Saccharomyces cerevisiae S288C: one gene and its partner. The gene in region 2 interacts genetically with the main gene of each other region. Each region holds a gene or a part of one and is shown on either strand. Other genes may lie near its edges.

What was found. Genes that interact genetically often act in the same process or in processes that back each other up.
Region 1: mutations in URH1 (region 2) and NRK1 are lethal when combined (synthetic lethality), as found in Saccharomyces cerevisiae (2 studies listed by BioGRID, with this or other methods).

Annotation. Positions count from the first base shown.
Region 1 is NC_001146.8:379,704-383,035, reverse strand, and holds NRK1 (ribosylnicotinamide kinase), read right to left. Parts: upstream 1,557-3,332; coding exon 834-1,556; downstream 1-833. Other genes in the region: TEP1 (putative phosphatidylinositol-3,4,5-trisphosphate 3-phosphatase), read right to left, coding at 1-677; DGR1 (Dgr1p), read left to right, coding at 1,645-1,791; CPT1 (diacylglycerol cholinephosphotransferase), read left to right, coding at 2,205-2,254, 2,347-3,332. UniProt on the Saccharomyces cerevisiae protein: Catalyzes the phosphorylation of nicotinamide riboside (NR) and nicotinic acid riboside (NaR) to form nicotinamide mononucleotide (NMN) and nicotinic acid mononucleotide (NaMN).
Region 2 is NC_001136.10:1,268,763-1,272,945, reverse strand, and holds URH1 (trifunctional uridine nucleosidase/nicotinamide riboside hydrolase/nicotinic acid riboside hydrolase), read right to left. Parts: upstream 1,884-4,183; coding exon 861-1,883; downstream 1-860. Other genes in the region: DIT2 (putative cytochrome P450), read left to right, coding at 1-712; HPT1 (hypoxanthine phosphoribosyltransferase), read right to left, coding at 2,213-2,878; UTP5 (Utp5p), read right to left, coding at 3,544-4,183. UniProt on the Saccharomyces cerevisiae protein: Also acts on cytidine.

The DNA.
Region 1 (3,332 bases), on a different chromosome or scaffold from region 2:
GCCTGCATGAATATCAATCTTGCTTCTCCAAGAGGACACTGCAAGTATTTCATGAGGTATGCTACTGTTATCATACCAGATCGGCCTTTCCCCATTCGACAATGTAAAACAGCCACTCTATTCTTCGAAACGGACAGGTAATTTTCTATACCATCTACAATCTCTTCCAGCAGTTCAAATGGCGGTGGAAAATGATCTAGCCAACCGATCCTTTCACAAATTACATTATTGGTTTCTTCTTCGACCAAGGTCCTTGTTTCGAGATCAATGGGTGATATTGGTATCTTTCCATCATTAATCAGCGTCGAACGTAATTCTTGAATTTCAAAATCTTTGCTCTCAAACTTGGCAGCGATACCAATAAGATCATTATCTTTATAATCGCTGTCTTCTTTCTCACCTCTAAAATTAAAAATTCTAAAATTTCCCTTGCCATGGTACACTGTTAGAAACAATATTAAGTCATCCAAGCTATTCCTATAAAGCAGTTTTGGATACGTGTTTACCGGGTATGAGCAGACTATTAGATTAACTAAAATATATGATATATCTAATCTCAAACCTATATCGTTTTTAGTTTTTTTCATTGGTAAAGACAATATTTTCTTCATCAAGTTGACTGGTTTCCATTTAAGGAAGCCTTTTTCCATTTCTAATTCACTCCCCTCCTCTCTCATTTACACCAAAAAAATAATTTCAAAAATCGGGATGGTGTTATCAATATTGTGGTTCTGAAATTGTCTTATTTAAGTTATCTATCGAGGTACACATTCTTATTTTTATTGTTTTTACTTTTTTTTTTTTATACTTCTCATCGATTTTGTGGCGCTTTCCTAATCCTTACAAAGCTTTAGAATCTCTTGGCACACCCAGCTTAAAGGTTTCGCAATTGGAGTGTCATCATCATTTATGAACTCTTTTATATTCTTTGACTTCCTTGGGTCTAGTAAACCTTCTACGTCTCCATTAACAAATAACTGCGCATGATTTGCACGATAAGATTCATACACAAATTCGTCGAAATAATACGGCGGATCCACCCAGAAAGAATCCAAAGTCTGGTATCCTTTTCTGGAAGCCCTCCTTTTTTTTAGTACTTCATAGGGAGCACGCACTAATATCTTCAAATCAAATTTTTTTGATATTCCAGTATTATTGAAAATCATAAACCCATCTACAATTACAACTTCATATTTGTCGTCATTAATAGAGTCATACTTAGCCTTTAACTCGTCCCAAACTTGTCTATCAATGTGGAACTTTGTAAAGGGATCATCTACGTTGTTATTGTGTATAAGTTTGGTGGCTATTTTACCAGTTTGTTTGATCACATCTAATTCTTTACCGAAAAGTTTAAAATCAAGAGCTTCTGGCGAATCCCAATTTTGAATGTTATATTTAGCATCTACTGGCACTTCATTATCATGTTTGTAAAAGTCATCTTCATGAATTAATGTAGCCTTCGTGAATAAACTTGCTGTAAGTTTCGCAATTGTCGTCTTACCACTGGAGGAGCATCCACTCAATGCAACTAATATCACTTTTTTCGAAGTCATATTTTGAGGTTCTACTCTAGCTCACACTTCGATAGCTTTTGCACGCTATTTTTTCCCTTACTCTGATAAACTATCGGAACAGCCTAAAATGCAAGTTGGTTTTGTTTCTCAGACCAACTGCCGTTCCTTTCCTGCGTGTATTGTTTTTCTGTTTCAAATGAGTCAACGGCAACGATCGTTCAATGCAAATCTTCGAGTATTTAAAAGCAAATGTAAGAAAATTTATATAGGTTAAAGTTATTGTTTACATTTTGACTCCATCTTCTTATCTGACGATAACTTCAGAAATCTTTTTATGTCAGATATATACTCAGGTGCTAATGCGAATTGCCCGAATAGTGAAGCATTTGCATGTCATACAACATCTCGCTGATTTACCAAATAACAAGATTTCCTATTGCATAAAAATTGATCTTGTGCAATCCTTCCTATATTGTTGTTTCCTATAGTCCAGTTCTATTACTGAAACTTATCGATTAAAGTGCATGTGAAAATTCGCGGGAAGTGACGTTTTTTTTTTTTTTTCTTTGGCGTTCTGCCAATATGAAAGATTAGATAGCAAAAGGTTAATGGATACTGAATTCATGAATTTGAAAATCATCTACCATGGATTCGAAAACAGTATTACTAACTGATTCAGGGGAAACAATGGGATTCTTTATTCCTCAGAGTAGTTTGGGAAACTTGAAGCTTTACAAGTATGTTGCTTATCTTATTGCACCCTAAATCTTCTGTGGCAAGAAAAATAAATACTAACTATTGTAACATTAAATTACTAATCTGACTTTAGGTATCAAAGTGATGACCGCTCTTTCCTTTCAAACCATGTATTGAGGCCCTTTTGGAGAAAGTTTGCGACTATTTTTCCACTATGGATGGCACCCAATTTGGTAACATTATTAGGGTTCTGCTTTATTATATTTAATGTGTTAACAACACTTTACTACGACCCGTATTTTGACCAGGAATCGCCACGTTGGACCTATTTCTCCTATGCTATAGGTTTGTTTTTATACCAGACTTTTGATGCTTGCGATGGAATGCATGCACGTCGTACAGGCCAGCAGGGCCCTCTAGGGGAATTGTTTGACCATTGTATTGATTCAATCAACACAACTTTGTCAATGATTCCTGTCTGTTCCATGACAGGTATGGGTTACACATATATGACCATTTTTTCACAATTTGCGATATTGTGCAGCTTTTACTTGAGCACATGGGAAGAGTATCACACCCACAAACTTTATCTAGCTGAATTCTGCGGTCCTGTTGAAGGTATTATTGTTTTGTGTATTTCTTTCATTGCAGTCGGAATTTACGGACCTCAAACCATCTGGCACACTAAAGTAGCGCAATTCTCCTGGCAAGATTTTGTGTTTGATGTTGAAACCGTTCATCTAATGTATGCATTTTGCACAGGAGCATTAATATTTAATATTGTCACAGCTCATACAAACGTCGTGAGGTATTACGAATCCCAATCGACCAAATCTGCAACTCCAAGCAAAACTGCAGAAAATATAAGTAAAGCAGTAAATGGTCTTTTGCCATTCTTTGCATACTTCTCTTCAATTTTTACCTTAGTCTTGATTCAACCATCTTTTATTTCTTTGGCTTTAATTTTATCGATTGGTTTTTCGGTTGCCTTTGTAGTTGGTCGGATGATTATTGCTCATTTAACCATGCAACCATTCCCAATGGTCAATTTCCCATTTTTAATCCCAACTATCCAATTGGTATTGTACGCATTTATGGTTTACGTTTTAGATTACCAAA
Region 2 (4,183 bases):
AGTCAATAATTACAAATTTGAACAAACTACTTTTGCTGCCAGTGATCTAATTCGTGCTCACAATAACGAAATAATCGACTACAAACAGTTGACCGATAATATCGTCATTATCCTTGTCGCTGGCCATGAAAACCCGCAGTTGCTATTTAATAGTTCACTCTACCTTCTAGCCAAATATTCAAATGAATGGCAAGAGAAACTCAGGAAGGAAGTAAACGGCATCACTGATCCAAAAGGCTTAGCAGATTTACCCTTATTAAATGCTTTTCTCTTCGAAGTAGTAAGAATGTATCCTCCTTTGAGCACAATTATTAATAGATGTACTACCAAAACGTGCAAGTTGGGGGCGGAAATTGTTATACCCAAGGGCGTATATGTCGGGTACAACAACTTTGGAACCTCACACGATCCCAAAACTTGGGGCACAACAGCAGATGATTTTAAACCAGAAAGATGGGGTTCAGATATCGAAACCATAAGGAAAAACTGGAGAATGGCGAAAAACAGATGTGCTGTGACTGGGTTCCATGGAGGCCGAAGAGCATGCCTAGGGGAAAAACTAGCCCTAACAGAAATGAGAATTTCTTTGGCTGAAATGTTGAAACAGTTTCGATGGAGTCTTGACCCTGAATGGGAAGAAAAATTAACTCCCGCTGGGCCTCTTTGCCCTCTTAATTTAAAGTTAAAATTTAACGAGAATATAATGGAATAAATATAAAACATGTAGAATTGTATATATACGCATATATGTATACAATCGCGACAACTTTTAGTGAAACTTCTTTGTATCCAGTGAAAATGAAAGGAACAGAACCTGACCAAAGGTCAGTAGAAAAAAAAAAAGCCTTTTATAGAAGTTCTTATCCAATCGTTGACATTTTGTCTGCTCTATTTAATGCTTCAAAAATCTGATCCCAAAAGTACTGGATATTCAAATCGAGACCAATTATTGTACCAACATCACTGTCATTTGGATATTCTTTTTCAATGATAATTTTCCCTGAGTTTTCGTTGAAAACATCATCAATGCAGGATATGTCCATTCTCTTGTAGCGAAATCCAACCGCAGACGATGGATCCCACCCATAAAATTCCAAAAGCGGCATCAAAGCTACCGGATCATGTATAGGTGGGCCCGATTCAAATCCTTGCATATCCTTGTAGGTATGAGCAAAAAATTGAAAAAGCTCCAAAAACAATTCTCGTAACTTGCTGTTATTCTTTTCGTTGTATATCATTTCGTTAACCTTGTAAGTAGCTATGGCCTTGTGAGTTAAATTTAGAGGAACTACTATACATTTGTCCTTTACATCGGGATCACGGAATATGTAATTCGCTGCGTCAGGATCAATCCAAACGTTGAATTCAGCAGAAAGATTTGGGTTACAGTTTCCTAGACCATGGAGTCCACCCCCCATAATGCTAATATATTTGACAGATTTTTTTAGGTATGGTTTACACCTAAAAACTGTTGCTAATGTGGTAAGTGCACCAGTAGACACAAAGGATATCTCTCCATTGTTAGCTAGAATCGCCTCTTCAATGGCCTCAATATACGTTTTATCAGTTCTTGCCTCAAATGTTGGCTTAGGTAGCAAAGAAGTGCCGTCTAAACCTGATATACCATGAATGTCAGGAGCATAATGAGGTTCCCTTTTCCAAGGTCTCTGTGCGCCTTTATAAACTGGAATCGCTTGTGCTTTGCCCATCGCAGTCAAAAGAGAACGGGCGTTGTAGTCAGTATTCTCTGGCGGTGCGTTACCAAAACACGTGCTGATTCCTAGAAGATTGAAAGCTGGATGGAAACAGCCTAATAAAATGGCTATGGCATCATCATGACCAGGATCACAATCTAGCCATATGGGTATTTTACTAACAGTCATCTTTTCTTCAAACAGTCGCTGGTTATTGCTGTCCAACCCTTCCCCAACCTTGCAGATGAGGGAAATTATCTGTTTTAATAAGTTTCGTGAGGTAAAAAAATCAGCAGATTCCATCAAAAGTAGTTGTCACGTATGTGTCAAATATCGCGTTACGTGGTGGTGAACAGAGGGAAAACGTAATCGCGCCTCACAGGTTACCGGTGAGGCTAAGGGAATAAACTTTGAGATAATAATTAGTTATACGTATACATATGGTCGCAGTTATATGCGTTGTCTATTGTACAAATTCTGCTGTATGATTCAAGTTACTGAAGGATATGATATGTCTATCATTGCTTGTGTTCCTGCTCAGGAATAAAGATGTCATTGCCCTGTTCAATAGCCATTCTAGTATGGAAAACAATGTCAGTAGATTCCCATGGATATGCATACCACTTGTCTGGAACAGTTTTAGCTGCAAAATAACGGTTCTTGTCATTCAACATTTCGGCAGGCAAATCTGCTTTCTTTGGTTTTTGCTTATCGTGTAGAACAAAAATCCCGAAGTTTGTTTTCATCTCTGGAGACTTTTCAGTATCGATACCTTTAGCCTTTGCCTGTTCAGCTGCATCCTTTTCCAATTCACTCAAAGCGTAATGAAGTGTGGTACGGGTGTCATCGACTTCGTCAACGATAAGAACGTTCTTGCCGACTAGATCTAATTTACATTGCTCGTAATCAATCCATTGTGTTCTGCTAACCTTAACACCAACTTCCTCAACTTCTGAGCCTACACTGTTCAAATCTTCGTACAAAGACAAAATAATAGCAAAAATTCTGATGGTTGGCACGCCGGGCTCCTTTAGGAACGTACGTAGGATCCTAGCAGGAATGAAACCACCACCACCAATGGCAATGATTAAGTCCGGCTTGAAATTCTTAATTCTCTCAGCGGATACTTGACATAGTTGATGTACGTTGTTGTACGAGATGTATTGCTTATCGTTTGCCGACATTATGGGAACGTAATGGATATAATGAACACGAACGGTAATATAAAAATAAGAAAGATTACAAGGCACTACATCGTATTACTCCAGCTAGATGGAGACTAAAATAAAAAAGTTACGGCAAACCAAACTGCGAAGGGGGAACAAAATCTAACGGAAATTGGGCTTATCAAACATGTTTAAATAGAAAATTCTATAGCAGCTCATCGCTACCCGATTTGGGACAGATGGAGGGGGAAAAATTTTTTTTCCTTTTCTTTCCTAGTAAACGCGAAATATAGAGAAAAAAAATGAAAGAAGTCAGATAAGCGGAAATGATATTAATTGAAATTAATCTAATTAATTTTTTCAGAAGAAAAAAAAAATAAGTGACTCGGAAGGGAAATATGTACTGTCTTTTCTTAGTTAACCAACTATGGTTGTGACGTAAAAGTGGAGTGCTTGCTTGATGTTCCAGATGGCCTTACTGTTAACGATGCCAGATGCAGTTCAAAAAGGATAAACGATTGTGGGGGTCTTTTGACAGATCTTCTTCGCGTGGGATACTTTCGTGATCTTTTTTTTTCTTTTTTCTTTTCTTACATTATGTGGTGAACTCTATATAAGTATTTATGTGCCTAGAGATTATTTTTGTATTCTGATGCGTGAAAGCATTTTATGCATGATATCCTCTATTCCATCTCAACGTCACTATATCCGGCTTCCTCCTCGCCGTCGCTCTGCTCCGTTTCTAAACGGCCATCTTGCTTAGATGAGGTATGCTTCTGTTCCTCTTCGTTGTCACTATCACCTTCTTCTTCTTCTTCACTGCCATAAGATTCTTCACCGTCCTCTATAAGGCCGGCATCATCGAGTTCTTCGTTATATTCAACGTCGTCTTCGTCCTCTTCGACAACTGGTTCGGATGAGTGGATGTCGCCTGCTTCATAGTTCAAAGTTTTGAATTTATTTATAGTACAGTCTAACCTTGCATCCAGTGCTAGTAGCCTTGGTAATAAGTCGGAACGCCTTTTCAAGGTGGAATGTAACGACGATAGAGTAGACATCAAATTTGGAATAGAAACCAAATAGCCACCGTGTATGATTAAACACCATTTTACCCAAACATTCAATGGGCCTTGACGGTGGGTTTGTCTTGCAATCCTCTCTGCCAACCTTTCTAAGAGAATGACAGCCAGTGCTGGTTTCAGACGGAAGATAGTATCCCTAATGACCCTCTCGTCACGATTATTGAGCACTGTTTCCAACAGTGAATGATCATTTGATTGTAGTGCTTGCGACAGAATTACTGTTACCGTCCCGGTTGTCGTA